Tribolium castaneum: one gene and its partners. Each later gene encodes a partner of the first gene's protein in a complex. Links are inferred from orthologs where the notes say so. Each region holds a gene or a part of one and is shown on either strand. Other genes may lie near its edges.

Region 1 (7,567 bases):
TCATTTGTTTTCAGATATTCATTTGTTAGTAATGCGGTTATCTACGTTTGTCGCGAAACAGACAACGAAAGGTTGAACGATTTGGCAATAATGTGTGCCGAAATGACGGCTTGTTGTAACTCATTGGCATCGGAATGGCTGGGTGTTTTATTGGCCCTATGTTGCCCTATTGCCCATCCTGGGTACTACACCGACGTGTTGGCGCAGCTTGACATACAAGTGTGTATTTTTTCATTCAAAAAAGTCCAAACTTTTGATTTTTTTTCTAGGACGTGAGCATACACAACGCTTTGGCCGTTTTTACGTGTATTTTAATCGCGAGACATTGTTTCTCGCTGGAGGATTTCGTAGGCAGGGTTGCTTTACCCAGCCTATTGAAGGTAACCATTTTTTTCTAAAGGAACGTGATTGTAAGGCGTTTTTAAAAGGTGAAAACGTTGGATAATGGGAGTGGCGCTGCCGAGGGCGGCATGCGCCTCACATGCCACCTCCTCCTGCGACTTTTCCGCACAGCTGAGGGCCCCCAGCCTGGCTTGTATTCCGTCGGTTCGCCGCCTTTGACAGCCCCCAGGCCTCCGCTGGGAGTGCGTCTCAGCTGCGACCGTCATTTGCTAGCCGCAGCGCACCGTAATATTCACGTGGGGCCCGTTTTAGCAGTTCTGAAGGCTGTTTTAATCGTTGGGGACGCCACAGCTCGTGAAGGCACCGAACTCAGCATTTCACATATCTTGGGGACCAGTGATTTGATGAGTGGGGGCGATGGTCCGTCCTTAGACCTGGCGTAAGTCTCTCGTTGCGTAGGAGTGCTCACGACGATTGATTTTTGATTTGATTTATTTATTTTTTAACGGGATTTGATTTGAAATTGGTTCTGTTCCGTCAGGGTAGACATGGAGGTCTGCGGCTCCAGGACGGCCCATAGGTTTGTCGATGATTCAATATAGCTTTGCTTTGATTGTGTCACCTGTGCTTGCACACACTCATTTGTTTATTGTGAGATATGGACGCAGTTTTCGCTTACACACGACACCTAATCGGAACGAAAGCGAACCGGAGTTAGGGACTCGGGTTTTGTTTTGTTTCTCTCATTTCCGACAGTTTTTTTTCTTTGATTTTGGAAATGAGGAATTGAGTGATTTTATTTGGGGGAGCCATAGACTTTATCTTTGTCAATTCGGGAAAAAAATCATCACCATCATGGCTGCATTGCTAACTAGAGGGTGTGCTAGTCGATATTTGTGTAGAAAATGCATGATAACCTTTAGCTTTAAAGCATGCAGTCATTTCTGACCCGTGACTTGACCGAATCGAAACGTAGAGGGCGCACTTGTGGGAAACTGGAAAATTTTCCAGAGAATTTTATGAAAAAACTACTTGGCGCAAAAATAAAGTGCATGGCCCGTTTCTAAAATGGGAATTAGTTACTTCGCTTCATACCGGTGTGTACCGAGTGAACTAACAAATGAATTAGATTTTTTAGCTCATTTGGTACTATTATTTCTCCCTTGTTTTGTAAATAACGCATAGACCACCTTTCCGGAGTATTCAATGTTTTGTGATAATAATATTCTCGTCTAATAACGTTAATTTATTTAGTTAGTAACAATTTTTTCATTTTTGACGACAGACAATCAAGCACCGGTAACGCCGAAAGCACGGCCTCCTTATCAGCCTTCGCCTGTCACGTATTGCGTGAAATTTGCTCCCAACAGTGGGTCCTGGAGCGCTGTCTCTCCCATCCGGAGGAACTTTGCGACTCTGATAATCTCCTAGACCCGCTTTTGTCGCATTCGCAAGCTCAAAGACTGCTTCATATGATCTGTTACCCCGATGCTGGGACCAGTATCGAAGAATTGGATCAGAAAAGTATGATAAGTCGGATTTTAGAAAATTTGGAACAGTGGACATTGCGTATGTCGTGGCTCGACTTGCAATTAATGTTCCGACAGTTCACTCCCAACTCTCAGGAGTTGTCTCAATGGCTGGATACGGTAGCTAAAGCCGCTATTGACGTGTTCCAATTAAACTCGTCTTCGTCGAATTCGCCCAAATCCGACGAGAAAAAACCGGAAATTAAAAATCGGGCGCAGAATTCCATTTGGTTGGTGGCGCCTCTCGTGTCGAAACTGCCAAGTGCGGTTCAAGGTCGGGTCCTTAAAGTGGCCGGTCAGGTGCTTGAAAGTGGGGGTTGGTGCAAGGAAACTAAGAGTAAAGGACGTGGAGGGAGTGATAGTCAGAGTCTTTTGAGTCATCAGCCCTTCCTGACTTTGGTTCTGACCTGTTTGAAGGGTCAGGAGGAGGGCCAAAGGGAAGGTCTCTTGTCCAGTCTCCACCAGCAGTTATCACAGTTGGTGCAGCTGGCACGTGACGGCAATTTGCAAGACATTTGCAACAATGAACGCACCCTTGATGGGTTACAATTGCGCTTTGCGCTGGTAGGTGGCGTGTTTGAGGCGTTCCAGAGGAACCCATCAGCGACCACCGATTGGGCGTTGCTTTTGGTACAGTTGGTAACCAATGGATTGATTGATTTGCACACGCATAGCGAGTTGTTTACCACTGTTATCGACATGTTGGCAACATTGATTCATTCGGCGCTGGCGACTGATAGTCAGGTGTTACAACCGATTTGGTTTTCAATTCGTTACCGACTGATTGTTTCAGGATGAGGGCCGGAAAATGTATCAGAATTTGATGAAAAAATTGAAAAAGGAAGTGGGTGAGAGACATAACGCCTCGTTACAACATGTGAGACAACTGCTTCCGTTACCGCGGAGCGTAACCGAAATAATTGCGGTTGAACCGATCGGTTGGGTCACCGATGGCAAAGGGAATAAGATCAGTTTCGACAGTTTGGATAAGAAACACGGTTTTCAGGTCAGCAATTTAATTATTTTTATGGTGGTATTAATGGTGAGATTAGGTGACTGATAAGCAACGCGTGAGCAGTTGGGACATCCTCGAGGGTATGAAAAACCCAGCCCCCTTGTTCTGGGCCTGGTTCGGGGCAGTCCGCCTTGAACGCAAGCCCCTGACCGGGGAAGACAACCATCGCCTCCTCAAATACCACACTCACAACCTCCAGCGGCCCCCATCGCACTACTTGGACCCTCCGCCACTCCCACCAGAGGATTTGGAGCCCGTCCCCGACAAGCCGGTAATGTTCCCTCCATTTTATTCCTGTGTCTCTCGAGCCCCCTAGAGCGGTCCTTGAGCCCCAAAGTGTCTTAGATGTGTAGATTTGTGTACTGTGTAACCTCCAGCTAAAGGACTGTGACCTGAAGGCGGACACTCCCTCCTCGGTGGACCAGAGCCCAGCTGCGATGGGCAAAGGCCGTGGTAAAGGTCAGCGACGTCCCCGCAAACCCAAAACCGTCCCAGGACAACTTCCCGTCAATCCCATGGGCATGAACCAGCCCCAGATGGGTCAAGGACAAATGCCCATGCAAGTGCCCGGACCCAACCCACAAATGCACAATATGGGCGGCTACGGACAGGGGCCCATGCCGCAGCAAGGCCAACAGTATGGTAATAACCAACAGCAATGGTACAACCAACAACAGCAACAGCAGGGCTATTACCCGCCTCAAATGGCCAACGGTGAGGCAGTTTTGAGGATTGACGAGTGTTTACTGTTTGTTTACAGTTAACCGCTTCGAAAGGCCGCAGATTAATCAATCCAAGCAAGCGCTTTCTAATTTGCTGCGTTCGCGGCATCCCCTGAACATGGGGCCCACTGCACAAACCCCGCAAGGGCCGGGGCCCCAAGCTAACTACGGGCCCATGAGGAGCTTCCCGAGACAGCCAATGCGGCAACAACACCCAGGGGCGATCCAGCAGAACCAGGTAAAGGTCCGTTATTCAAATATTATACTAGTGGTGCCAATTAGTGTTTTGTTACGTTGGCAACTATTTGTTTTGAAATCAAGTCGCCACTTTAATAGAGTGTCAAATAATTTTTCTCCAAACAAATCAAATTTTTGTGCTAAAATGGATTCAGTTTGTGTTTTGCATTAGAATTGGCTTTAATTTGATTGAATTCAATTCCAGAACATGTTCCCGCAGCAGTACGGCTCCATGCAAGCCGGCATGAACCAGCTGTATGGCAACTACGGGGGCACACCCAACACCATGATGCCCAACAACATGCAGGCGAGTCAGCAGATGATGCAGGGCTCGCAGCCGAACATGTTCGCCGGTCAGCAGCAAGGGTTCGGGCAGCCGAGGCCCCCACAGCCCGACTATCGCGGCATGGCCCAAAACCCCCGGGCTCAGTACATGCAACAAGCGCCAAACGTGACAATGAACGCCAATATGAACACGATGGGCGGGATGGGGGGCCAAGGGGGCCCAGCACCGCCCTACTCGAGACAAACCCCGCAAGGGATGCAACAAGGGGTGCAGCAACCCAACCAGTTCCAGCAACAGAGGATGAGACAGCAGATGATGGCCATGCAACAACAACAGCAACAACAAGGGGGGCCACAAGGAAATACGTCCTCGTTAGTGGCGCATTTGCAGAGGCAGATGAATCCTAACCCGTACCAGCATCAGCCCCCACCGTATAATATGTAAGAGTGAAAGTCGTGTGTGTTGTGAAGTGTGTAAATAAATTTATTTACAAGAAATTGTGTTTTTTGTTAATAAATAATTTGAACCCCTGCTTGTGTTTTTGTTACGCCACTGATAATCTTGCGCATCGCAGGTGCCGGGTTCCAATCGCCCAGCACAAAGTTAGTCCTTGTTTTAATTAACTTGTGGCGGAGATTTGTCTGGTCCGCTGCACTATTATGAAAATGATAAAGAGTGCTGCCAACCTGAAATTAATTTATGCACAACTGTCATTTTTAGTGTGAAATTTAACCGGGCGTCAGTGATGGCTGTCTCCTATTAATAAACAATTTTCCTTAAAATTTCCATTAATTTAACGTGAAAATGCCCCGCGTTAAAGCCTCCCCGAAAAAATGCATCAAGTCCAACCTGCAACAGCCGACAAATTCGTGGGTTTTCCTCCTCAAAGGTAAAAAATAATGCGATTTTTCCCAGCGGTTGTTTTGTTCTCTTTGTATTTTTTCCGGATTTGCTTTTTTGTTTTGTTTGTGTCGGCGTAAAAACTCGATATTGACGAATTGGGAACGGCGAGTCTCGCGGGGACTTTCAGTCAGGATTTTTGTGTAAGAGGTTTGTTTACATTTTTCGTGTTTAGGTGAAGCGCTGGAACTCAGCGAGCAGTACACGGGCACCGGCACCCCCGACATTGTCACCCTGAGACACCCCAACACGGGCGAGTCTGCCGTGTTCCTATTCTCACCCGCCAACAATTCAGTACAGGAAATTTTGACGTACAATGAGGCGAAAAGGTCGTGGTTTATTGATGAGACGGTTAAAAGCGATGGGAAAATGCATCTATCGACCCCCATAGACCCCATTTTCTTAGGTGGGTGACCAATCACCCAAACAATAATTAATAAAATTAATTCTAGTGTTACCATACTTGAGGAAATATTGCAGCAGCCAAGCGATACCTTTAGACCAACTTTTGCGAGACGAAGAGTTCCCAGAGACTGAACGATTGCTAAAATCCAGCGGTCTCAAGTATTTAAATATGATAGCCGATAGAAAAGTGAGTCACGCCAATTTGCCGTGTTTTTTGTGACAAAATAATTTTGTTAGGGTGACGAAGAGCTTAACGCTTTCAAATACAACGAAGAAAAAACCCTCTCGTGGCTGAAGAAGAAGACCGAACGCGTGGCTGAAATCCTCAAACAGAAGAATATTCACGTGGGTTCAGGCGCCGTCTCTGCCACGTTTGTAAAGTCCTCAAAATCCGAGTCTTCCGATTCGGACTCGCATTTGCGATACGCCCACGGGATCGTGTCCGAGTATTTAATGGACGACCTTAGTCAAAAACTCCTCAAATACCTGAATTTGCCTGACGACCCCCAGTTCAATTTGAAACGAAAAAGCACAAACCCGCTGTCGCCCAACGAAGCGAAAAAAACGAAAATCGAGGAGGAGAACAAGAGTAGCACTTCCAACGTCCTCGACTTGAGCAAACCTGAGCCAAAGTCGGCGAAGTCTGCGGCAGCCAGCGCCAAGGACAAGGCCCGAGCCAAGGCAGCGAGCGGCAGTAAGACTATAAGTTCCTTCTTTAAGAAGACTTAGAGGTGAGACGCTTAGGTCAATAGTATAAGTTTGCTTGTTTGATCGCGGACAAGGTTGTTACATTTAGGATTAAATTAGGTACTAATTGCTCATCTCCATTTCGATACTTGTGTACAGTTGAATCAAAACTTGTCCGGACGTAAAGTGAAACGAATGGCCTTTTTCAAATGGAATTTCTCTCGTTTCAAACGAGCCTAAATTGCAGGATTTGGTCCGCCCCAGTGTCTCTTTTGGTTTGGGCTAGTTTGTTGTTAGTTCTTCCGTTGCGTGTCAGTATTAATTTATTTGTGATAGTTTCAGTTTCTTGTACATATTATTGCATTGGGTGCAATACTTTCTGTTTAGATATTTTCACATTGAAAAATTTCGTTTCTCTTCCGATTTGCTGTGCAAATTATCGTCACGTTTTTACGCAAAAGAAAAACTCCAAAAATTTGTTCCTAAGGTCACGAAACAATGACTGATTCTCTTATAGCGAATAGTAAGTGTTAGAGTTCAATGTACGGTGAAGCAATTTCTGATTAGTTCTTAGATGGCAATACAAAAACCATGATCAATAATAGGTAGATACGTGTAATAAACATTTTATTTTTTTAAGTATTTTCACTCGTATGTATGTCAAGTTTCTAGATTAGAGATTTTTATTGTTGCATTTCGTCGTTATGTGTACGTGATACATGTATTTAACGGAAAACGAAAAAATGTTTGAAAAAAACACTGGTTTCACTCTTCTTCACTCTTACGTTGCTCCTCCAATTCCTTGAGTTGCTTCCTCACTGCTTCAACCTCCTCGTCTGTGACAGTGACTTCAACCCCACACTCACGTTGCTCGTTCCTGATAAACTCAAGAGCCCTGATTTTCTCCTGCAAAAAGACAGGCTGTTCGTTCTGCAACAGCTGCTTGTACTCGTCAAGCCGCCGTTGCCTAATATCCTCGCAGTAGTTATTCGTCAACTTCCGTAACGACTCCTTCCGGGTGATCCAATGGAAGTGATCAGGGGGCGGCTTATACACAATTTTTAGCGCTTCCAGCAACCACTCAAACCGCTTGTAATCCCACCGTCGCAAATACTTCAATTTCTTCTTCCTCCTATCGATCATCTCCTTTAAAACAACCTTCATGACCTTATTCCTCGGAAATTTCTCCATCAAGTCCTGGTACGCCCTGATGATGGCCGTCCATCTGGCGATTTGCACTTCAACAGAACCCGTATCGAACTCGTGCCTCTTCACGAGTTGCTTCATTTCATAGCCGTACACTTGAGTCAATTTCCTGCGAGGGGCGTATTCTAACGAAAACAATTTTTTCACGGTTTCGTCGGCCGTTTCCAATTCTTTGGAGCCACGGAAGGGAAGCTGGGGCTGTGACAAGTCGATTTTCATCATTGCTTCCAGGTCACCA
Region 2 (8,040 bases), on another chromosome or scaffold:
CCGCGTCCGTCTATTAGAGAGACGGAAAGAGAAGCAATACATACCATTTGAAATACAGTAGCTCAAAACAGAGATAACAAAAATGTTCGTTTATGAGAATTGTCCGCTTATAGGAGGTGTCCATTAAGAGAGATTTCACTGATTATGCTGAGAGTGTTTAAAATGTTTTCTTGCAAGTTAAAATAATATAACAATAAATAATTGCCACAATTTTTTTACGGTAGAAATAATTTACAAAAACTATCAGTTGTTATTGTTTCACGTGATCAGTTAATCACGCATTTAATTGCGGATTAAATTAACGACGCTTTTTTTTACAGAAAGCAAAATTAAAATTTAATTCTGAATTAAACTATTTCGAACTAAGTTGTCATTTAACATGCATTGACAAATGGCAAGTTAATCGCGGATTAAATTTTAATGGTGATTAAAACGTTCTGTAAACCGGCCTTTAATTTATTACTTAGTTAATGAAAAATGAGTTTAAAGGACCGGTTTACTGAATCGCAGTTAGCTTTTAATTCGGGATTAACTCGACGTTTGTCAATGCAATTTAATTCGGAATTAAATTTTAATGTCGGTTTCTGTAAACCGGGACTAAGAGTCGGTTTACAGAACATTTTAATTGTACTCAGATTTTAATTCGAGATTAACATGACATTTGTCAATGCATTTTAAGTGTCAACTAAATACCGAATTAGTTTAATTCGCAATTAATTTTTAATTTCGCAATTTGTAAAGTAGATCGGCCCTTAATGTTCTATTAGAACAAAACTAGTCTGGGTTTAGTTAGAGACACGTAATTTTTTTTGGGCGGCTGTACCTGTTACAAAAAAAAACGAGATATTGAGGTTTTATTGCTTTATTTGACCAATTAAAAAAATATTAAAACCACAAAATACATAAATAATACATAAATTTCTTGAAATTCTTGAAAATTTAGTCGTTGGTTAATAAAAAAAAATTTGCAGATTCGGAGCAGGGTTCGTGGGAGAGCGGCCTGTCCTACGAGTGTCGATCTCTCCTCTTCAAAGCCTTGCACAACCTGATCGAGCGTTGTCTCCTCTCTCGCGATTTTATCAGGTTGGGAAAATGGTTCGTTCAGCCGTACGAAGGTCCAAAGAAGAACGACTTCACCATGACTCATTTATCGTTCTCTTTGGCGTTTTTCGTGCACGGCGAGAGTTCCGTATGTGCAAGCGTCGACGTACGCCAACATCCACCAGTTCGAAGACTCACCAGATTGCATTTGCAACAAGCTCAATCCTCAACTTCTGGTCTCAAAGGTAAACCTATTTTTTTTTTTTTTTTTTGAAATAAAATGTGTAATTTTTTTACTTGTAGTGATTTTGGCTCCGTATGGACTTGCGGGGACTTTAACCGGTCAAAGTTTCAAGTCTTCGGACCAAACCTCACGTTTGCTGGAAGATTGGAGCCACTTTTATCCATTGGATAAGAGTAGCAGTTTGACGGATAGCAGTGTGGTGGAAGTCATTGTCGGAGGTGTTAAAATGAAGTATCCGTCGTGCTATGTTCTTGTCACCGATCTGGACGATAACGTCAATTCGGCAATGAATTGTACGGGGGTTAATCCGCCTAATGGGCTCGTCAAGAACGGAACGAGTGAGTCTAACTTTGTTGCAATGAAATACGAGACGACGAGACACCAAAAAAAAACATTTTATTGTGGCGAAATTTATGACAATTTTATTATAACAAAAGGGGTTTGGACGGACCTGTTGGAGTGTCACGAGTCGTAAAAATTAATTTATTAGGTGGTGTTAATGTCGACAGGGTTTATGAAATGTTTTGTTGGTAATTGCACATCACTCGTAAAATTGTTTGATTTAAAGTGTGGTTGCTTGCATTATCAAAGTCACGTCGCTGATTGATACACACTGATGTCTATCATATCAATTTTCTAGTGGTAGAATTACAAAAAAAAATAAGAAAGCAGTGTCATCTTACAGAAAAAAAATTGCGGTACATTTCTAACCATTTTATTTTTTTTGTAATTTTTTCTAATTACGTTTCGTACGTTCATGTTTATTTTTACATAATTTAAATGAAGTGGGCATTAAATTTAAATGAATGTATTTACGAAATCGGCTCTAAAGGCCGCTTAAACACTATTGATTAAAAGAGCAACCTACAGTGGGTCAAACCGGCGTCCACCCTCGCCCCTTTTACAGGCTAATTAAGCGGCATTTAGGCATGCATTCAGCGTGACAGATTAATTAAATCTTTGAATGGTTGAGTCGTAACGTTTGCTTTTGACACTTGATTGAAATGAATTTTATTTTTTTCTCCAATGGTGTGTTAGGTTCACCGATACTGACCCAAACACCACCCCCATCTCCGATCCAAATCAACAGTAGGGTGCCCCAACCAGGGCCGTATTCGGTCTCGGTGGAACACCTCTTATCCATGTCACGCGACGAAACTGCCGCCACTGTTCTGCCCGAAAGGGCATGGCAGGAGTGCATCCATGGGGGGCCCCCAGGCTGCACCCCCCAACCAACTTCCAATACACCGCACGAATTCACCGGCCAATGGGATTTCGTCGATCCAATCAAACGCGCCAATTGTACCTGTTCTAAGTGAGTGGAATTTTGTTGAAATGCATGTATAGGCCAGCTCTAAATCAAAATTTTGGGGAAATTTTTGAAAAAAAAAACAAAATTAAGTGTTTTTTCAAGATTCAAAATCGGTAATGTTACTAGAAATAAACATTTTAATCAGTTATTAATATTATCCCTTTACTTTTACTCACCCTAACTCTGTTAATTTGTTTAATTAAAAAAATAGTCAAGTGAATATTTTTTTGTAAAATTTTATGCTTGTAGATTTTGAATAATCTTTGAAAAAAGCTTGTAAGCTTTTGCCCAACATTTTGATTTAAAGCTTGTTTGCCTGGACTCGTAGCTAGGTTTCGGTGCTTTTATTTTTTTTATTGGCAGATCGAGGTGTAGTTTAGTTATGTTTTTGTAAATTGAGAGTTGTTAGTGCACGTTGCGACATTGCAGGTGTAGAAAGTACGTGGGCAGCATGACCAGCAATAAATGGAGCACCGGGGCCACCACCAAGACAACCAACTCGCCCCGGCCTTCGAAGGCAGTACGGGGACGTGTACCTTTCCACAGGCGCTCCCCCGTACCTGCAGACTCCGACAGGTTGGTCACTCGCTTCATGGGTGACGGGCTTTTAGGTCATTCCAAACCAAATAAAAAAAAAATTAAAATTTGGCATTTGGAATTACCCATTTTTTAATTTCTACTTAAATGAAGCGACATTAACAATCTCATACTAATAATCGGTTACCACATTTCATAGGGCGGGCCCCAGGTACACTAGGCATGTTTTTGTTGTTCATTCATCGGACGCCACTCAGAATTTCAGATAACAATTTTTTTCCGGTTTTTTTTCAGATGCTCTGGCTCCTACACGCCTCAAGGGGGCCCACCGTCGTACCCTCGCACGCAGGAATCGGTGGCCATCCCATCGGTGGGGAGCCCCCCATCGGTGGCCCCCTCGCCACTACCCAACCCCCACTCGCAACCGGCTTCGGTGCCGCCTGGAGACCAAACCATGCCGATGTTGTCGCCCCATCCGCCCACGTTGCTTCCGTCACCAGTTGAAAAGACACACACCCCCGACCATCCCCCCAAAAGCGTTGAAAGTACGGCAAACAGCCCCAGTTGTCCGACTGATGCAAAAAACGAACAAGTGACGAACGTAACGAGTGTTCCCGTGTTAAAAAGACCGGTTTTGAGTGTGAAAGAATACGAAAGTTCGTTAGGGGATGAGGAACAGACTTTGGAAATGCTTTATGATTATTCGACGTTAGAAGCTTGGTATTAAAAAAAAACAAACGTTCGAATAATCGGGTTAATGTGTGTGTTTTTTAGGTTGAATCATCCGGTTAAGCGGTTTAAGCCGGACGGTAAGGAAAACAAGAGGAATAGACTCGGGAAAAATGATATTTACTCAATGTACAACCACAATGGTGTCACTGTAAATAACAACGACGTAACGAACAATTTCAATACCAAAAATCAATTTATTAAGCAGGAAATTAAGCAAGAAATGACTGAAAGTGAATCAACGACGCCGCTCGGGCCGATGCAAGGTCATGGGGTTAAGAGGCCTGGAGATCCGTACGAGTTCGATGAAGAGGGCGCCGGTTCAGCCTGCATTGATGGGTTCAAACGCGGGCAAACGGTGGTCAAAGAGGAACCCAAAGATTCGAAAAAAATCAGTACTGGAAATTTGTTTACAAGCGAAGGCTTGCAACCGAGCTACAAAGATCTCGAACAGATTTTTGATAACAATTCTGACGATACGAGTAGCGATGAAGCTGTAAGTCTGGTGATTGTTTTTTTGTGTTTTTTTTTATTAGTGATTTTGTAGATTCAGGTTCAAACGCCGCCAGGTTCGACGACTTTGAACCATCACGAGGATAATAAAAGACTTTCGGGACATGGAGGGTGTCCCACAATGGGGTGTTTAAGGCCCGAAGAATTGAGTAAAATGTTTCCAACACCTCCAAGTCTCGAACATAATCCGATCGCGTCGCCTTGCGGACAAATGGATTTAGCACTGCCAGATTATACGGATTTAGGGATAGTCAGGACCAAACAGGAGATTTATCCCAATATGGGGAGTCCCCCGGAGGAACACATAGGTAATTAAAAAAAAACACAAAATATCGTAAAAATACACAATCAACTGCCAATTTACTGGTCTATAGAATTTAACGTATTTTTTTCCTTATCATTATTATTACACGTGATTATTATAAATCGCACAAAACTTTTTTTATAATAGATTTTTTGTATAAATCGGTGATTTATCTTAAAACAATAACTGTTAAATAATTGTGAAAATAATTTATTAACAAATGTTATAAATTAATAACATTTTTCTTTGTAGTTTTTTCTTTTCTTACTTTCATTAAAGTTTTATTCATTCATATTAATTTTATTTAAACGAGTATTTCGTTACAGACCAATGATATTATCTTACGTTGGACAAAGTTCACAACTTTTAATAAACAGAATTAAACTGCATAAAAATAGCGGCCACATAATACACATAAACAAAAAAGAAAAAACACTTTCTGACACAGGCCACAAGTTAAATTTTAGTAAAACCAAAACTCTAGATAAAGAAATAAACACACAGAAACGATTACTGTTGAAATGATTTATCCAATGAGCGCAAAAATTATTGGATAATCTTAGAAATGGAAATGGCAATATAAAAGTTTTGTCGAAAAAAAATAAAGTGCAAATCGTAAAATTTTAATATAAACAACCAACAAAATCTAGATATTAAAAAATGAGTCAATTCTTTATTTAAATACAAATATTAACTTCTTAACAAAGATAATACCTGTGGACAAACTTTTCATTCAGATATTGTTCGTAATATTATTATGAACCCCTCCTTTTTTTAAATCTTCTGTTTGACTGAAATTTACCTTTTTTTTTGTCCAATTTTTTACAAAATATCGCTCAAAAACGTATTAAAGTGAGTGAATCAGGTAAAACACAATAAATTTAGCTTCATTTTTGTGGTTTTTTATGTGTGTTTTGTAAAAAGTAAATATATTTTTTTTGTTTAAAAATCACTAAAACGAGCAAAACAAGCTATAGTTACAATGATTTCCATCGTATTTGAAAACTTTTTAGTCTATTATAGTCAATTTTAGGGAAATTTCTGAAATTTATTGGGTGTTTGGCTTACAAATGTGCAAGAAAGCTCGAAAACTGAATTATTGTTTTGTGACCAGTTCGGGCAAATTTTCCAAAGCAAAATATTCACAGAAATTATTGTTGTTCTGACGATTTTAATGAAGCTGACAATAAACCACTGAAACGTTGACAATGAATTTTTTATTAAAAAAAACAATTGTTGATTTTAATTTAATTTCTTCGTTTTTTCCCCAGACGACTGGACGTACGTTTTCAAGCCGCCCGTCTTGTGTAAAATGGTGGGTTCTAGCAAATACGCCCCTTTGACGAACCTGCCCAGTCAAAGCCTTCCCGTGGTGACCCTCCCATCGTACTGCGTCTACAAACCATCATGGATACAACACGCCGAAAAACCCCTCCAACAGCTCCCACCACCGTCCACCACCCAGCCTTCAATCCCCAACAACCTCCACCAAAACTCCTTCCCTCCCAGTCCCCTACATGGCGGCTTCCGGCAACCACCACCTCCCTACGAGCTCCCAAGTCCGGCAACGTCAACCGCCAGTTCCTACCTTAACAAAAACCTGAATTCGGTCGAAGCTGTTCCCACACCGTCAGTGCAAAGGACACCCGAAGCGAATTCGCTCGCTCTAAACATCCTCCTAACCGACACCGCATCGAATATTTTCCGTGATCATAACTTCGATAGTTGTACGTTGTGTGTGTGCAATGCTGGCGGCCGTGTCGTCGGTAACATTCGTGGCGCCGACGCCGGTGTTTATTTGATAAGTTCGTCCTGTGATAAAACGCAAAGTAGTGTTCAACAACCGAGCAGTCCATTCCCCGGGGCCTGTTTGGGACAACCGCCTCCTTACGGCATGCTCTCGCCGCCCCACCACCACCAGCAGCAACTGCTCGTCGACGAGGACGGCATTCGGTGCAGTTGCGGCTTCTCGGCCGTCGTCAACCGCCGGCTGGCCCACGGAAGTGGTCTCTTCTACGAAGACGAGATGGAAATCACCGGCATTGCCGAAGACCCCGGCGAGAAGAAAAAACCCTCGTTGTTGTCGTTCCTCATCGCGAGCAATTCGATTAAACTCGACCCGAGCATCGACCGGGACCAGGTCGATGTTTTACCGCACGGTCTCCTGGAATTGATCCGGGAACAGTGCGTTGTGATCCCGAATACGGCGAACGCCCTCTGTCGGGCAGCCAAATACGTCTGCACCAAGCAAACTTTCAACAATATTCACGTCCTCGAATACTCCGATAGTAACGAAGTTACGACAATAGCCCTGGAACAAAGTAAAAGTAGCTACGACTTGGCCGTCTGTAAGGTCGAGGATAAGGCGAAGCCGGCCGTTGGTTACGCCGTCCACCGGTGGCCGTTCCTGCGGGCCAACGGCCCGCAGTGCAACCAGGACATCGTCCGGGTCATGCGCTCCCTGCAACCGCTCCTCCAGGAAGCCATCCAGAAGAAATGCCAGACGCGCCTCTGGGAGGCCCCCAGTGCGGTCAAAGGCCCGCTCACCTGGCGCCAGTTTCACCGGCTTGCCGGGAGAGGCACCGACGACCGCTGCGAGCCCCAGCCCATACCGTCCGTGGTCGTCGGCCACGAGAAGGACTGGCTGTCGGTGTCGCCTTATGCCATCCAGCACTGGGAAAGCTTGCTGCTTGAGCCGTATTCGTTCGCCCGTGATGTGGCGTACATTGTGGTGGCGCCCGATAACGATGCGATACTTCCACGTGTTCGGACCTTTTTCAAGGAGCTGTCCACGGCGTATGAGATGTGCAAGTTGGGGCGGCATAGTCCCATCACCAAAGTGCTGCGCGATGGGATTTTAAGGGTGGGGAAGACGGCCAAAGCTAAATTAGGGAATGAACCTGTCGAGGAGTGGTTTACGCTGCTGGGGGAAGGGGAAATTACGGATATGTTGAAGTTGTACGCGCAGGTGTGTAAGCATCATCTAGCGCCACATTTGCAACAAGTGCCGATGGATAAGACGTTGCTTGATCCGCCACAAGAGAGTGGGGATAAGCCGGCACCGAGTCCCATGCCACCGCCGAGCACGCCCGATGGGGGACAGGCGGCGGAGAAGGCGCCCAGTACGCCGAAGAGTGACCAAGGTGGGTGGTTTACACAGAAAAAAATGCGAAAAAATGTAGGATTTTGTCGTTTTTGAACTAATTTGGGGTGTCTTAGTCCAATAAATGTGAGAAAAAGTTGAAAATAATGTAATTACTGATTTTTACCGGAAATTTCGCGAAAACTTCAAAAAAAATTGGTTAAAATCGTGCCTAAAAAATTGGATGTGTTTTAGTTTTTTTGGTTTATTTATAACAA
Region 3 (8,036 bases), on another chromosome or scaffold:
GTATCCTTGAACATTAATTTACATGTGCACTTCGACAACACCGTCAAGTGTCACGAATTTGTCAAACTGACATTGACAGTATATTATAGACGTCGTCGCATGGTTGTCGAAAGTGTTATCGGTGTTAATCGCAAGTATTTTCTGTTCGTTTATTGTGTTTTGTGGTTTGCGTTTCGTTAGGTTTTTGATTCTGCGTTTATTAGTTCTTGTTTTGTGAATCTGTATTTTTTGTAACAACTCATAATTTAAACACTTCGTAACCTCAAAAAATATTTGATAGTTTGTCACCGCTATGCCCCTGCTATGTAAACGTAGTGACAGAAATGTCAGATGACGCACACGCAAACGGAGCTGAGCGCTACCATAGTAATTTTAAGACACTGATGATGGGATCCTATCCCGAAAGCGCTCTGAACACCCCTCTTTGGACATTAAATAAAGAGCGATCCAGAAATACTGGGTCTATTGGCAACAGATCTTAAAGTATTTTTGCTCGTAATTTGCAACAATGCAACTAAATTCGATTTTTCTTGACAATTATTTGACGTACAACCCCAAAAGAATGTTAAATTGTTGTTAACGGGAAGCGTACTCCATTGGTATATTTTAAAATTTAAATTCAGTGTTTCCAACAGACTTAGTATTTCCGGATCATAACAATCCCACTTCGATAGAATGAATATTTTAAATTTTAGAAATATATTAGCTGTTTAAAAACTATAAAAAGGCCAACGTCGCATTGTACCGAATAATTTTTTTTAATAGGATTGATAAAATTGTGAAATAGCTATTAATGATTAGATCTCTCATTGAAAGTATAAATTATTTATACTTTATAATTATATTATTTTTTAAAGTACCAGAAAGAAGAAAATACTCTCCAAAAAATATTCAACTGTTGCAGTATGACAGTATTTTATGTTATCACCTAAAAGACATAAATCCCATTTCAGTTCATAGCAGAATTGCAACAGCGCATTTGAATTTATCGGAGTAAAAAATAAAGCACAAATTGAGAGCTTCTGTAAAAGAAAAGAATTCTGTGTTAAACTAAATCCCAGCGACACGTTTTGAGCTAAGAAAACCCACCAGAAACTCTCAATTTCACTACAAAAAATTCAAATGCTCTGTTGCAAAATTCTACTATGAACTGAAATGGCATATATGTCTTTTAGGTGATAACATAAAATACTGACATACTACAACAGATGAATATTTTTTGAAGAGTATTTTCTCCTTCTGGTTCTTTAAAAATGGAAATCGGCAAATAAAATTATTAGTAATGTTACTTTTTTATCTTTATAACTTTTGCTGTCCCGTCCGTTATCGCAATCACAAAATGTTGTTCTTATTTCTTACGTTGTTAAACAAAACCAAGAATTTTTAATGTACACTGTCTAATTTTAATATATATTTTATTTTAATAAATAAAACCACTCTGAATAACTGTCTTATAGTTCGAAACTATTGAAGCTAGCGAAAAATTTCAGGTACTGACTGAACGGACTGTAAAATCTATAAATGGCTGTTTCAAAACTATAAAACATTGCATTTTCTCTCAGAATTAGCTAAATAAATAAATAAATTACTCATGCACTTCATATAATTAATAGCTAATGTAATTTATATTTTTAATGAGAGACCTAATTATTAATAAGTATTTTACAATTGTATCAACCTTATTTAAAAAATAATTCGGTAAAATGGGACGTTGGCGTTTTTATAGTTTTGAAACAGCTAATAGTTGGATCGGAAATGACAACTGAATGAGTAAAGATTTTTCAATTTGTTTTAAATTAGCGGGATTCACCACTTAATTAATTGGTAGCAATTTATTTTTGCAATCTCAGCTTGGAAAATTAGGGTTTACCTAAAGCGGATATCATGCAATCTAAGTGATCATGAAAGGCTCGTTTTTAAAATAATAAACTGTACAAAGTATGCATTTTTAATTATAAACGATTGCTCAACGCTGGTATTTTGGTAGGGTGTGTCACAGGCTGGGGCTCCTCGCGCTTACCTTTTGTGTAGAGTTTGAGGCGATGCTGGACTGAGGTGATAGCCCCCAAGACTGACAATCTGTTAACTCTCGACTTGATATTGGAGGCTGTGCCGAATTCATCAGCTAACATTTTGCTAACTCTCGAGATTTGATCTTTGGGCGGTATAATTAACGAAATCATGCTGGTTCCATTGCTGCAAAAGGCCAAAAAAACCGTTTACTTGAAACTCGTGGGCATATGTTGAAGGATTTCTAACCACGTTGCACTTACCCTCTCGCCAGTTCCAAACTTTTGATCAGTTTCTTTATTTTCCAGATTTCTACATTACGGTCGGCTGAAGTCTCCTCTCCTGACATTTCTGCTGGATTTCGTATGAACTAAAAATACGAAAAATGTGACCCGATGCAAAATGGCGCGGTCTCCAATGCCGACGAACTACTTGATTGAGTCACTTTTCACTGGTTATGCAGGTAACTTAACCACTTTAACTGGTTATAACCAGAAATGCGCGACCCGGAGACTTGGTTAGTGCGGGAAAAAATATTCCAGTCACTCACATGCCGAAACAAAGGGAATCACAAAATAAAACTGGCAGGTGACAGCCTCTCGCAGAAGGAAATTCGAAAAGGACCCTACGATTTCCCAACTTTCCGACCGGAATTTCCCATTTATTCAATCAAACTGGGGGAATTTCGACACGCCACGTTGCCCAACCCGACCTCGGGACCACAAAATCATAATTATTTCAAATAATTGATACTTCTTCTGCTTGATTCGACAAACTTCCACGTATTGATTGCAATTAATTATTAAATTAACAGTAGATATTTAAAAATTAAATTTCATTTTTTCTTTAGTTTGTGCGTTGTTTTTGCGCATGCTCGTCGCGGTTAGACATTTGACAAGACGTTGACGTTTGTCAAAAACAAATTTTGATTAATTATTATTATTTACAAACATTCCTGTTCTTCCCAATAGTGAAGTGCAAATTTGTTAGGGAATCACCGGTGTTATCATATAAACTTGGCACTTCTCGCGAAGTGCTCTAATTTCTGATCAATTGAATATTATGACAACTCTCATGATGGACTACGAATTTAAAATGAAGACTCAGAATGAGCGGGTAAAGGTGGAGGATTTGTTCGATTACGAAGGTTGTAAGGTAGGTCGGGGCACGTACGGCCATGTGTATAAAGGGCGGCGGAAAGACGGGTCGGACAATCGAGACTATGCCCTAAAACAGATCGAGGGGACAGGACTATCCATGTCAGCATGCAGAGAAATAGCGGTAAAAATCGCGTGCTGTATTATTAATAAACCTTATTGCCTTATAGCTTTTAAGGGAATTGAAACACCCAAACGTTATCACGTTAATTAGAGTCTTTTTATCTCACAATGATAGAAAAGTGTGGCTTTTATTCGACTTCGCCGAACACGACCTGTGGCACATTATTAAATTTCACAGAGCCGCTAAAGCTAATAAGAAGCCAGTCATGGTCCCTAAAGGAATGGTGAAGTCATTGCTTTACCAAATTTTAGACGGAATTCATTATTTGCACTCAAATTGGGTGTTACACAGGGACTTAAAACCGGCTAATATTCTGGTTATGGGTGAAGGGCCGGAGAGAGGACGTGTTAAAATCGCAGATATGGGTTTTGCGAGACTTTTTAACGCACCATTGAAACCTCTAGCTGATTTGGACCCCGTTGTGGTCACTTTTTGGTACCGAGCGCCAGAATTATTGCTCGGAGCTCGCCATTACACGAAAGCAATTGATATTTGGGCCATTGGATGCATTTTTGCCGAACTGTTGACCTCAGAACCAATTTTTCATTGTCGGCAAGAAGACATCAAAACCAGCAATCCGTACCATCATGACCAGTTAGACAGGATTTTTAACGTTATGGGATTCCCCCTTGAAAAGGACTGGGAAGATATCAAAAAAATGCCCGAACATCCCACACTAGTTAAAGATTTTAAAAAACAAAGGTACAGACAATGGAAATTAAATTGTTGCCAATTAATTTTTGTCATTTTGTTAATCTTTTCCAGCTATATCAACTGTTCGTTAGTAAAATACATGGATAGACATAAGATTAAACCTGACAGTAAAGCGTTTCACTTATTACAAAAGTTATTATTAATGGACCCAAATAAACGAATTACTTCAGAACAAGCGATGCAAGATGCCTACTTTTCTGAAGACCCTCTACCTACGCAGGACGTTTTCGCGGGTCAGTTTAACAAATTTCTCAAATAAAAAAAAACAATAAATAATCACAGGTTGTCCAATCCCATATCCCAAGCGCGAATTTTTGACTGATGACGATCAGGAAGAGAAGGCTGAAAGTAAGCAACGTCAAAACCAGCAGCAACAGCAACAACAACAACAGCAGCAATCCCAGCAACAGCAACAACAGCAGCAGCAGCAACAACAACAGCAATCCCAACAGCAACAATCTGGAAATGGGGATAATCACGGGAATCCCTCAAAACGTGTGAGATTGTCGGGGAATGCCCATCCCGGCCAAGTCAATCCACAAGTAGGGTTTCTCTGATTTAAGTGGCAAAGTAATGACTGATTTTTAGGCTATTCCAATATCGCAACAACAGGAGTTTCATCAGCAGCAGATGATGTATAATAACGGGTCGCAACAACAACAGAATTTTCAACAAAGATTTTAAATTTAGGTTTAAGACATTAATAAATTTCTATAAATCGTATCGAGCGCTTTTTATTTAGGGATTTTAGTTTCTGACTATCATTTCCGTTTCCTCGAATCCGCCATTTTGAATTCCTTTTGTCAAATTAGTGCTTGCGGTAGGTATGTTTTTCCGTTTTATATCAAATTTTTATGACTTTTGGGTCAAAAATTGAAGATTGGGGTCGTACTATGTGTGCGGTTGTTGTCCCTTTGAATAAAATTAGTGCTAGTCGAGACTTAAGCGCTTGTAAAAATCACCATGTGATGCAATAAAAATTGTTTTTTCTCTTCCAGAACCGAGCAAAATGCAGTTGTGCTTTCGCGGACTATCAACGCACGTGCTTGAGTGCCAGAGCAATGAGACCATTGCTGAAATCAAGGTAATTTTATCAAAGTGTGAGGTTATGTTCTCTCCAAGTGGTCAATTTTAGGATCGCATTGCGGCTTTGGAAAACCTGAACAGCAGCGAAATCAGTCTCTACGCCAGCGGTGTTCCCGTGGCCGATGCCAGTTTGGTGTCAGAATTCGAAAATACTGATATTGAGTTGACTGTTGGTTTGTTGGGTGGTAAAGTCCACGGTTCTTTGGCACGTGCAGGTAATTTTTTGTTAGTTTTAACGGCAAGTCACAGCAGGCTGGTATGGAAATCACAGTAACAGCCTTCCTGAAGCTTGCAAGAGAAAATTGAACTGTTTGAGGTGGTTTTAATTTGGTTTTAAAGCCGCTATAGAAAGTATCAGACATTTTTATTTCTGAATGTAAGTCGGCGATGTTTGATGTGTATTGTATTTTTTAGGCAAAGTCAAGGGTCAGACCCCCAAAGTTGAAAAACAAGAAAAGAAGAAGAAGAAGACAGGTCGCGCCAAGAGACGTATTCAGTACAACAGAAGATTCGTCAATGTTGTGGCCACTTTTGGACGTCGCCGCGGCCCCAACTCAAACGCTGGAGCGTCATAATTTCGTATTTTAAGTTTTATATTCATAACTGCAATGAATAAATAAAATAAGAAGTAAAACAAGTCTTTTATTTACACATAAGGGTTCCAATTACTGCCGTCTTCAGGCCCTAAATTATTGGTTACAAGTAGTACAATGTCAACAATCCACCAAATACCAACTCCACCTAATGTTAACAATTTACCGACTGCTGTTCCTGTCTGCCCTAAACAAAACCTATCCATCCCAAGAAAACCTAATAAAATGCTGTATAACAACGTTGTTGTAAAATACTGATCGGAATATTTCACACAAGCGACGCCTTCTTTAAGAAAAGTTCGATTTCCGTAACATTCTATCCTATCCAAAACTGTACACTCCACTTTAGTCCTTTCAACATCTTCGTATTTCATACCACCAAACTTAACACAACCATAACCCAACTCTTCCTTTGCCGTTCTATTACCCTTGTGGTCAACTGGGTCCTTGCAAGTGATGAATTCCCAAGGGAGGAACGAACACTTTACAAGGGGGCCTCTAGGATTGAATGTATGATTGGCCCATATAACCTCACTTTGAAGAAAGATCAAAAATACCACAAGTGAAATCATTGTCACTCATTATTTAGCGAAGAAATGAAGCAACGGGAGTTGTTTCACCTTTTAACAATATACAAAAAAAATTTGCCAAAGCTAGAAAAACCCGAATTATTTCATTCTTGCCACACTTGGGATTTTTCGCAATTTCCAATGGCACACCAGTGGAAAAAATATTCAAGTCTCGAATTTATTTATCATAATAATTTGCAAATGCACAACTTTCGAAATTGTGAATTTTTTTACACAAGGGCGGAAACACGAAAATATTTGTCTAAACGGGTGACATCTGCCGAAACATATTGCAAACCCTTAAAATCTTGTGCAGAAATCTGTAATCTTTTATCCTGTGTTATTTTATTTTATTACTTTTATTTCTGTTGGTACAATGGGTATAATAACATTTTAAGGCTTCTTTTTAATATCTGAATCTTAGATTTTTTTATGCACTATTTTAAAACACGTTTCCCATATCAACATGTTTTTACTATTATAAAAACACGCTTCCCAAAGCAACGTGTTTTAAATTTAATTTAAAATTAATTTAAACTTAATTTAAAACACGTTTAAATTTATGATTTAAAATAAATTAAAAAAACTAATTGAAAAAACTAATTGAAAAAATTTTGTTTCAACAAAAAAAAATTGAATAATAATAACAACGCTCATTGCATACCCGACAGCCCTCAAACTTCAAGCTTGTATTTTCGCAATTGTATTATTAATAACTATTTCAAAATAAATAACATTCCTAAAAAATACAAGTGACGGTAATATAAAATATAAAAGTATATATTAGCTGTTTCAAAACTACAAAAACACCAACCTCCAACGTCTCATTTTCTCTCAAAATTAGCTGTTATAAATTATTCATGCACTTCAAAAAAGTTATAGATAATGTAATTTATATTTTTAATGAGTAACAGCTAATTTTGAAAGAAAATGCGACGTTGGTGTTTTCATAGTTTTGAAACAGCTAATATATTCAAGGCTACGTAAAACAAACTTTGTCGTAACATAAAATAAAATAAAAAAAAAATAAAATAGAAATGCTTTGACAAGTTTACAAGCTAAACAACTTGCTGGTTTGTTTTGTAATTAAATAATTTCATTAATTAAAAGACAGTGCAACCGTAAAACATCTTATTTGATGACCTCACCAACAAACCAACTTATTTTTCCACCAACAAAGTATTGAAATTTTTGGCTTTAGTTTTTGTCGCATCTTACTTAATCGTTGCATAACACTCAAAATGATGTCACTCGACCCCTTTTACTATTTAAATTTTTTGAAGACGTAGGTCTGGAATGCAGAAAACGTCCTTGTTTGAAACTAACATACAATTTGCCCCCCTTTTAAACCAAAAGTGACCTGTTTCAGCATTTTTTCCAAACTTGCATGGAATTGGAGATTACAGGGGGTGCAAATTTTAGTTGGGACAGCTGTATATGAAATTATTTATTCTTTAAGTTTTGATAGTGTATTATTTTTTGGCTAATTTTTTCAACCGCTACTTGAAACGACACATTTTCAGCGATTTAATCGCAAAAAACTTGCACTGCTGTGTTTCTAACAACTCTTATTCCCAGAAAGTGATCATTTTACCTGAAGTAATCCTTAGTAAACACTCAACGCAACGAGAGAGGGGCAAAATCTCCACCAGTCAACCACCAGTCAGCCGTGGTCCAAACATTCGTTAAAATGTGTCTAATCCTATTTTTGTTGACAATATCAATTCTGAGCGTCGTTGATAGCGCACCGCTGAGCCGCTGGGAAAAAAACTCCATATGCGAC
Region 4 (8,829 bases), on another chromosome or scaffold:
AATTTCTAACGTTTTTTAGGGTTTGGCGATGGCGAAAGAAATCAGCGCTGTAAAATACCTAGAATGTTCAGCGTTGACGCAAAAAGGACTTAAAACAGTTTTCGATGAAGCCATTCGAGCAGTTCTTTGCCCCGTAATGCAAGTCAAACCTAAACGTAAATGTGTGTTATTGTAAAAACTCTAATTCAGATGTCTATGCTTAGACAAAGTTCGTTTATTGCCAGAGTCTTTTTAACTTGAATGCTTAACACATTGTATTTAGTTTGACTACTGTTTACCTTTAACTTGATTTTGCAGAAACTGTGAAACATTCATTTTAGAAAGGCCAATGAAACGTCGTGGAAAATATTAATATTATGGATAAATGTGATTAATTATTGTTTTGATTTTTAAATTAGGCATAGAGTATAGTAATTATCATTACTGTGAAAGTTGATTAATACCTTTGCATTTATATTGTTAGGGACAAGGGTTGCCGTTTCATGTTTTAACACGTTTGATTCATTTCAACATCTTCGCCGTTTATTTATTTGAATCAAGGTTAGTGTAACAAGGTTTTAAAAATTTGATCTCTGCGTTCATCAGAGTACTATAAAGCACTACGATTGTAAGTATTATAGAAAGGAAAGTGAGGATTTTACATAATTTCAATTCGGAAAAACTATCAATTCTGCCTAGATTATACGAATTATGAATTCTAGATTTAGTTAATTGCAGTTGTTATTTTATACATTGTTTACTGTACAGTTTTTTACTTAGCGTAGAAAACCGTCGCTTTCCAGTCTATTGTCAAAGGTTAGGAAAATTATGGTATTTAAAAAATATACTGGAAGGCTCAATATAGTGTAAATAAGCTTGAGAACCCCTACGTTAACTGTTTAGCATTTTAAATTTTATTGAAGTTCTAATTGTAGCTATATCCGAAAATATGTTCTATATTTTTGTAATTCCTTGCTTTTTTATTGTCTAAGCGTAACAGTAAGTGTTTCTGTGCAGAGTGGACCGCTCTCGATGTTTATGTTGGAACGCCAGTACATTTACTAATAAATGGATAAGTGTGTGATCATGTCATAACAGGACTGTGTGTATTTTGTAAATATTAAATATTATAGAAAATTATAAGTGAAGATTTATAGAATAAATAATTACGATAAACTTGCCTTTAAACTACGCAGGACTATAACTCAAAAATATAGTACGGCAGAGTAAAAATGAGGGCGCTTCGAGCAAGATATGTGTACAGGCTTATTCTTTTAAAACTTTTTATTTTCTAATATAGCTAAAGCTTTAAGATTTTATATTTATAACTAAATCGATAATTTTTAGTTCAACTATATTATTTCAAAATGGCTGATTTTCCTTAACTAAGAGAAATTGGCGCCAACTTTGAAATTTTAAATAGTAACCACTCATTTTTATTGCATTTCAAACATGGCGGCAATTTTTTGTAATTCCGGATGGTCAGCCATTTTGAAAATAATTTAGTTGAACTTAGAATAGTCGATTTGGATCTATACAAAATTTTAAAACTCTAGCTATCTTACAAGTTAAAAAGTTTCTAATAAAAGGATCACCCTGTATGGTCTCGCAGACTTTTTTGTAAGAAATTTATTTGTTTTTAACCGTATTCGCAGCGTGTTGAAAAATATGGGGCAGAGTGGAAATTGGTTTAAGTTTGATTTTTTTTTTTAAATATAGTTTACAATAAAATTTTTGCACTATGTTTCTGTTACTATTGTGAATTTAATGCTCTATCTGCCTGTATTTTTTTGTTTATTATGTGTTAACCATTTTTCCAAATTCATTGCTCTGAAAACTTTGGTAATGGAACAACTGCGCTCTCTGGCGACATTAACGGAACTATCGAAGGCGGTAGCGTTTTATTTGTACGTAATTTTATTTCTAACCTTTAGATATCCGTACTTTCGTCAAAAACAAACTCGATTTTACGAATTGATTGAGATTTTGTTATTTTTCTACAGTCTGTTATTTTGTGGACGTTAACGAACAATTTTACAGAAGAATGGAAGAATGGAGCTTATTTTGATTAGTTTTCGCCTTCTATCTCTCAAATTTTTAAATTTAGCGCTCTGAAGTGACATTTGGAGTTGATTGAGGTTATGTAATTTTTTTTTAACATAACCTAACTTTTACAACAAAAATGTTTACAAGAGAATGGACGAAAATTGGGATATAGAGTGCTCCGACGACGAATTTAAAGACATAAAAGGCCCTTGGGAGCCCCCTCCTGAAGTGATCGAAAAACTTTACGATCAATTAAGCAAGGGTGAAATTCCTGAACTGAACTGGAAATGTCCTGGATACCGTTCACCCTCTCCGGAAGTGGAAGAGCCGCCTCCGGTTGAAGTTGAGCAAAAACAGTAAAATTTATGGTTTGTGTTTACACAATTATTAATTATTGTCTGTAGGACTGAGGATAAGTCCGATTTTGATTTTATGGACGAAACTACGTCCCCACGCCTCAAAATTCGAAACAAAGGAGAGGAAGCACTGAAAGGCAGCGCCAAGAAGAAAACTACGTCTTTGGACGGTGTTATTAACAACATGCGGAGGCATAAACTCATACCGCAACAAAGCAACCATTGAAATAACATAAAACACTTCATAAATCTAGGAACTTTATTCTGAAATTAGCACAGTTATGTTGAATTGAATCAAAGAATAAATATTTAAGTGATAGTTATAAGCGTAAAGTCACGTAGAAATCGTCCGATTTCTATCTTTGAGGGGCAGGTTTTGGTTTAGGCATTTTATTCAACAGTCCTTGAATTTCTTTCTTCTCGTCGTAAGTCTTCCACAGCTCGAATAAATTAATAACGTATCTTGCAATTTCTTGAATTCGTTCTATGTCCACGTTCAGTTCGGCAAACCAAGCCTTGTGGTCCTTTTGCAAGATGACACAAGCTATTTGAAGACAGCCAATTGCAATTTGATATGGTGGATAAAGCAAACACACATCAGTCCTAAGAGAATCGTTCACTATCCTCCAGGCGAGAGTCAAAAGTTGATCTTCTTGACCCATGTCTTGCACTAGTTGTAAGAGAGGTCTATAAGGCTGATAGACGATCAAGCAACAGTCGAGGTTTTCTAACAAGTAGAATTCACACTCTAGGATGTGGTTCGTACGATATGGAAATTCCTGACTATAGGCGTAACTAAACTTATTTTTAACTGAAAATAGATTGTTTAAAAAAGCTAGTTTTAACTTAGCCTCCTTCGATCTTAGACGGCTTTGAAATTATTAACGACAGAATATAATATTAATTTTTGGATTTTTAAACTGTAATTAATTAAATAACCGCGAGAGGTCGCCCTGTTGAGTGGTATGTTCTGAATACGGAGGACTATAAGTTAGGAGACCAAAAATAGTACGGCAGAGTAAAACTGAGGGCGCTACGAGCGTTATACCGTCTTGTCGCCAAATCGTTTTAAATTAATTTAAAACCAACCAATTCATTAATAACGTGGAAAAAATGTAGAAATGTTTTGCACTCTTAACAGACTAAGAAAGACTGACGACTACAAGTTTCATGACAAACATGAGAATTTTTTTATTTAATTTGTGCTTTAAGAAGACGCTGCGAATACAATTAAAGATACAGAAAAATGTTAGGAAGAAATTTGTAGAGAATTAAACTGACCTGCTAAACAAAAACCTTGTAACTACTTTTACGTATTTTTAAGTTATTTCGTGATTCTTAAATTTTCTTTAAATCGCACCTTTATGTTATATGCTTTTGAACTTTAATGAAAAAAATTAAATTGATACGCAATTTTATAGACATCTTTTTAGAGCGCTATTTTTCAATTTAAAACAATTGAAATAAAAAAATTGCTGAAGTTACTAAGCAAAAAAGTCGTAACTACAAAAAAACATTTATTAGAGAAAATTGAACACTTGAAAGCTAGATATTAGCATATAAATTAACGAAGAACAACCAATGCTTATAAATACAGTGGCGCTAATAAGTATTAATACAACTCATTTTTTTATTAAATGTGTTCTCTTTCAATTATTATTAACTTTTACTTATTTTTTGGTAAAAGTTGAGGCGGCAACGAGCTATCTTTAGATAAAGACAAGATTTACAAAGCTGACCAATTTTTTTAGTGCGATATTTTTTTTACATAATAAATTAAATTAAATTAATAAATAATTAAAAATATTAAATTTGACTTTTGGGTTCACCAATGAGACTAGCTAGTCTTAATATTCCCAGAACAAATGGAAATTTTTTTTAAACAAATAATTCGATGAATAAATTTACTTTCAGGCATATACCAAATTTCAATTAATTTTGAACATTTAAAATTTTAATTCAGTATTGTCAACAGACAGTATTTCTGGATCAGTCAATTAATAATAAACAATACTTCATTAAATAGACATTTTTAATTTTAGTTTTGGAGCAATTTATCTCAAAAAATTAAACGATTGTCCGGTAATATATTTTTAATCTTTTCAAGAGTTTCTGTTTATAAAATTTGATCCCTAAGTTCAAAAAAATTCGACGTGACTTATTTATCCAATTTTTGTCCCTCGAATAAAAATAGTATATACTTATTTATATCTGTAACCGTATTCGCAGCGTTTTGAAAATTATGGGACAGAGTGCAAATTGGTAAAAGTTTGAAATTTTTTTAAATATAGTTTATGATAAAATTTTTGCATTATGTTTATGTCCTACTATTGAGAATTTAATGCTCTATTTGCCTGTATTTTTTTTGTTTGCTGTGTGTTAACCGTTATACAAATACAACCATTTTTTCAAATTTATTGCTCTGAAAACCTTGGTAATGGAACAACAGCGTTCTCTGGCGGCATTAACGGAAATATCAAGGACAGGAACGTTTTATTTGTACGTCGTACCATATCCTAACTTTTAGATATCCGTAGTTCCGAAGTTGGATGCTTTTCGGTAATTTTTTTAACAAAAACTTGGGAAAATTATATCTGGTAACTTTTAGACCAGCCATCTAAGACCATCACGGAGACTGTGACTTAACTTACTGACTGTCTGACACGTTGTAATTAACCTAGAATTGGAAATCACCCCAAATTCTTCTACTTTGGAGGCTAGAAAAATGCAAGTGGGGGCTAACAATAACGGATCGATGCACTTAAGTGAGTTTTTTGCATAAAACCTCTTAAAATAAACCGTTGCGGTTGCTATAACTTGCTGGCGTAGCTTCAACTGTTCGCCTAGTGTTTGAATGACTGAAAAAATAAATTAAGAGAGTTGATAATAACCTAATATAAATAATACCGCTAGCAAAAAATATAAATATTTTTTGGTACTCCTCCTCCGTGAGGAGTTGGAGATCATGTTGGCGCTCCCTAATTAAATCTTGTTTGTCCAAAAGCCACTGCTGGCTGGAAAAAATTCATTTGTGATTTTGGGGCCGTTTTCATATCGTAACTTACTGGTGTGAGCTTTGCCAAAAATTTCCAGCCATTGCACAAACTAATCTGAGTTGAATTAAATCACAGGCAATAACTTTAAGCTTCCAGTCAATTATTAATTAACACAAAAGCAAAAGAAACCGGTCAAAGAAACTCAGTCAAGTGACAAGTGTCAACCAATGGAACTACTGTGGTGTTTTTTAACCTACGACCTCTTTTATTAAAACTGTAGACCTTAGAATACTAAAATTAAGTACAAACGAACGCTAATTTTTCAGTTTTGTTATTTATTTTATTTATTGTTTGTTTCGTTCGAACCATATGATACGAAAATGTTTGGTTGATTTGAACTACTTCAAATGTCAAAGCGCCACTTGTGACAACAAACAAATTATTGTTTGTGTGTTTTTTTGTGTTGGGAATGGTGTAGGGGCTCGGGCCCCCAGTTTTCTTTTTTGGATTCTTATTTATTCAAAAATGTGTGCTTGTGTACAAGTTGTGTAAATAATCAGTGAGTTTGTGCGACATAACCTCTAAATGCTTCCAAAAATGAATCCAGTGTACGATTACATTCAGCGAAACCGGGTTTTGGCAAAAATAGAAAAAGCTCATGGAACTAAAGCAACGAATTTAGCGCTAGATGATTACGACCTTGTCAAATTTCCCCCCTTGTTGGTGAGCTGTGTCCACCTCTCATATCTAAACATTGGTCATAATCAAATCACTGAACTGCCCAAGTGTCTCGGACAGCTCAAGAATTTGCAAAATTTGTCTCTGGAGTACAATAACTTCGATCGTTTCCCTGAAGTACTCAAGGATTTGCCTCAGTTGATTACTCTAAACATAAGCCATAATCCGATTAAAGACTTGACTAGAGATATTGGAAATTTAACTTCGTTAGAAACATTATGGTGTAACCGTTGCTATCTGGAGTCTTTACCTGAAGAAATTGGTAATTTAACAAAGTTGGAAACCTTGGGGGCTCGGCATAACCTGTTAACAAAGTTACCAGATGGAATCTGTAATTTAGTGCAACTGAGGTAAGTATGACACTTACCCAAAAATTAAAGAATTTTAGTTTTCGAAAAATCGACAAATTATTTTTACTTTATTCCACTCTCTTGTGAAACAAGGTCGAATTTTATCAACGAAAAAGTAGTACGAGGCGAAGCCGAGTGTGTTAATGCTTTTGGTTGGATAAAATCGTATTTTATCCACTGTCTACTTTATGGTAAAACGGAATTTTGTCGCCTAGAAAAATATAGTTCGCAACTATTGTTGTTTTTAAAGTATTTTTTATTGTTAAATTTCTTAATGTTTATAATTGTTAATCAAAATAACTCAGTAATTCGAAATAATCGAAAAAAATGGAGGAGAAATAAAATTTTGTATTTTACACGATAAAATGCACCATTATCTTCTCAAAACCTTCTCATAGTTAAAATCAGATTTTATCGTCTTGTATAATAAATAACTATTATTCTCGTGAGATTAATTACTTATCTACTAGCGCCTACTGTGTAAACTTTCTAAAAAAACAGATACAATTAAATATTATATAATTTCATGATGCCTATTAATAAAAAAAAATCCACATAAAAGCACAGGAGAGTTCGATAAATTAGAAAATAATTTTCAATTTAACCTCGCCCTCTTGTGATGGATATTACTGTTGATTTTTTTCAGGTGGCTTACTTTAGAAGATAATCAATTGTACACAGTTCCTAAAGACTTCGATAAGTTACAGTCTTTAATACACCTCAACTTGACTGAAAACAAATTTCATTATATTCCCTCAAATATATCCAAATTAAAACAGTTGAAATACCTCCACTTGCGCTTTAACGAATTTTATTCGATTCCGGAAAGTGTACTCACTACAATGACTTGTGTCAAAATTAATTTATTACATAACCCATTGTCCTCGACTGGTGATATAGATGTGGTAATTTATTAATTGATTTCAATTGTGCGTAAATAAAATTGATTGATTTTGTTCCAGATGTTCCCCAATGTGATAACATCAAATAAACAATTAGAAGATGATACGGCGGTCGATTCTGACTCAAATTCCGATTGGGAAAATAGTGTAGCTAGTTCAGATTTGAATTATTCAGCTACGGAGTCAGAAAGCGACGATGAAGATATTCTAATAGAAGTCTCGAAGTTGTCAAAATTTCTTGTAACGTTTTGATTGTTTCAGGTTTTTCCTTACCATAAAGTATTACGAGATATTGTGGTTTATTTTTTAAATAAAAGTCGGTTACGCAAAAGTATATTTCTTTTTAAAGTAATTTCTTGGAAAAAATACAGAACTATTAAGCTTTGCATTCTTAGCAGACTGAGATAAAGTGACGATTAAATTTTCACGAGAAACGTGAGAAAAAAATATAAGATTTACGTTTCGTCCCACATTTTTCAAAACGCCGTGAAAACGGGTTAAGATACAAGAAAAATATTGGAAAGGAAATTGTAGAAAATTAAATGCCCTTTAAAAAAAATCCTCAATGATGTTTAAAAAAGTTTAAGCGACGGTTTCGTTTCATTTTACCACTAATAAAGTATCGGAAAATTAATTTATACCTAAACTATTGAAGATAGAAATATGGTGTCGTGGACTTTTTTTATAAGAAATTTAGTTAATTCTCTACAACTTTGTCCTTTATACTTTTTTCTTTAACCGTGTTTGCAGCGTTTTGTTAAATATGTAATTGGTAATTTAATAATCGTTTTTTCTTTTTGAATAAAGTGTTTGCACTATCTTTATTTTTGACTATGTATTAAGTTTTTAATCTGAAACTTATTTTTCCATTACAATTCTTACAGATGAAATTGAAGTATCGTCTACATTAATAATTTTTGTTAGAACTACTTTCAATTTCTTTACTTCCAAAATTAAGCTGTAAATTATTTTGAAATATTATTTAATAAGCATATTTTTTAGTATTACTAAATTTAAAGGCGCGTTCTCACGGATTAATTGTAGTTAATTAACAAAACTTATGACCTAATTTGATTATGTTTTTACGTTGATTTTCATTAAAGTTTTCTAGATCAAGTAAAATCGATCCGTGAAAACACACTTTAACAGACTTGTCTGACTTTAAAATAAGATGTTTATTTACTTAAGTATTATTATTCTACAAAGTTAAAGAATTCGAAATAAACTTTAACGCATCTGCTTGTGAAGAAGTGGATTTTTTCAAAATTTTCTTTTATGCTCAAACAATAACCTTTGATTAAATTAGAAGTTAGGTGCACCAATTTCTCTTTACCCATTAGAACAAAATTTATCTATATAACTTTAAGACTTAACAAAACCCTGCTAACGGAAATTTAATTTTTTTTTCAAAATGTTATTTAATAATTAATAAAGTATTTATCAGACGCTGTACCATCTTCTT

The links.
Region 2: kto (region 1) and skd share a complex: the UniProt entries of both Drosophila melanogaster proteins name them as parts of the cdk8 module of the Mediator complex. The link is inferred for Tribolium castaneum from reciprocal best matches to the Drosophila melanogaster genes kto and skd.
Region 3: kto (region 1) and Cdk8 share a complex: the UniProt entries of both Drosophila melanogaster proteins name them as parts of the cdk8 module of the Mediator complex. The link is inferred for Tribolium castaneum from reciprocal best matches to the Drosophila melanogaster genes kto and Cdk8.
Region 4: kto (region 1) and CycC share a complex: the UniProt entries of both Drosophila melanogaster proteins name them as parts of the cdk8 module of the Mediator complex. The link is inferred for Tribolium castaneum from reciprocal best matches to the Drosophila melanogaster genes kto and CycC.

What each region holds. Positions count from the first base shown.
Region 1 is NC_087398.1:4,020,028-4,027,594, reverse strand, and holds the end of kto (mediator of RNA polymerase II transcription subunit 12), read left to right. Parts: intron 1-14; coding exon 15-219; intron 220-269; coding exon 270-380; intron 381-428; coding exon 429-781; intron 782-883; coding exon 884-922; intron 923-1,627; coding exon 1,628-2,615; intron 2,616-2,664; coding exon 2,665-2,877; intron 2,878-2,923; coding exon 2,924-3,157; intron 3,158-3,263; coding exon 3,264-3,600; intron 3,601-3,646; coding exon 3,647-3,852; intron 3,853-4,050; coding exon 4,051-4,575; 3' UTR 4,576-4,628; downstream 4,629-7,567. Other genes in the region: ribonuclease H2 subunit B, read left to right, coding at 4,936-5,020, 5,207-5,437, 5,484-5,623, 5,674-6,165; bonsai (small ribosomal subunit protein uS15m), read right to left, coding at 6,889-7,567. UniProt on the Drosophila melanogaster protein: Component of the Mediator complex, a coactivator involved in regulated gene transcription of nearly all RNA polymerase II-dependent genes.
Region 2 is NC_087399.1:1,842,567-1,850,606, forward strand, and holds part of skd (mediator of RNA polymerase II transcription subunit 13), read left to right. Parts: intron 1-971; coding exon 972-1,286; intron 1,287-1,344; coding exon 1,345-1,623; intron 1,624-2,323; coding exon 2,324-2,600; intron 2,601-3,026; coding exon 3,027-3,173; intron 3,174-3,428; coding exon 3,429-3,854; intron 3,855-3,908; coding exon 3,909-4,359; intron 4,360-4,410; coding exon 4,411-4,684; intron 4,685-5,951; coding exon 5,952-7,823; intron 7,824-8,040. UniProt on the Drosophila melanogaster protein: Component of the Mediator complex, a coactivator involved in the regulated transcription of nearly all RNA polymerase II-dependent genes.
Region 3 is NC_087397.1:11,465,275-11,473,310, reverse strand, and holds Cdk8 (cyclin-dependent kinase 8), read left to right. Parts: upstream 1-2,897; 5' UTR 2,898-3,072; coding exon 3,073-3,291; intron 3,292-3,337; coding exon 3,338-3,993; intron 3,994-4,056; coding exon 4,057-4,238; intron 4,239-4,287; coding exon 4,288-4,547; intron 4,548-4,593; coding exon 4,594-4,689; 3' UTR 4,690-4,728; downstream 4,729-8,036. Other genes in the region: eRF1 (eukaryotic peptide chain release factor subunit 1), read right to left, coding at 2,021-2,196, 2,274-2,359; RpS30 (ubiquitin-like FUBI-ribosomal protein eS30 fusion protein), read left to right, coding at 5,015-5,089, 5,141-5,306, 5,506-5,666; amrt (TM2 domain-containing protein CG11103), read right to left, coding at 5,738-6,256; trk (protein trunk), read left to right, coding at 7,944-8,036. UniProt on the Drosophila melanogaster protein: Component of the Mediator complex, a coactivator involved in regulated gene transcription of nearly all RNA polymerase II-dependent genes.
Region 4 is NC_087394.1:8,423,127-8,431,955, forward strand, and holds CycC (cyclin-C), read right to left. Parts: upstream 5,608-8,829; 5' UTR 5,479-5,607; coding exon 5,447-5,478; intron 5,396-5,446; coding exon 5,289-5,395; intron 5,240-5,288; coding exon 5,033-5,239; intron 3,193-5,032; coding exon 2,738-3,192; 3' UTR 2,627-2,737; downstream 1-2,626. Other genes in the region: ras-related protein Rac1, read left to right, coding at 20-175; Pa1 (PAXIP1-associated glutamate-rich protein 1), read left to right, coding at 2,176-2,381, 2,430-2,607; leucine-rich repeat-containing protein 1, read left to right, coding at 5,963-6,465, 7,112-7,370, 7,428-7,619. UniProt on the Drosophila melanogaster protein: Component of the Mediator complex, a coactivator involved in regulated gene transcription of nearly all RNA polymerase II-dependent genes.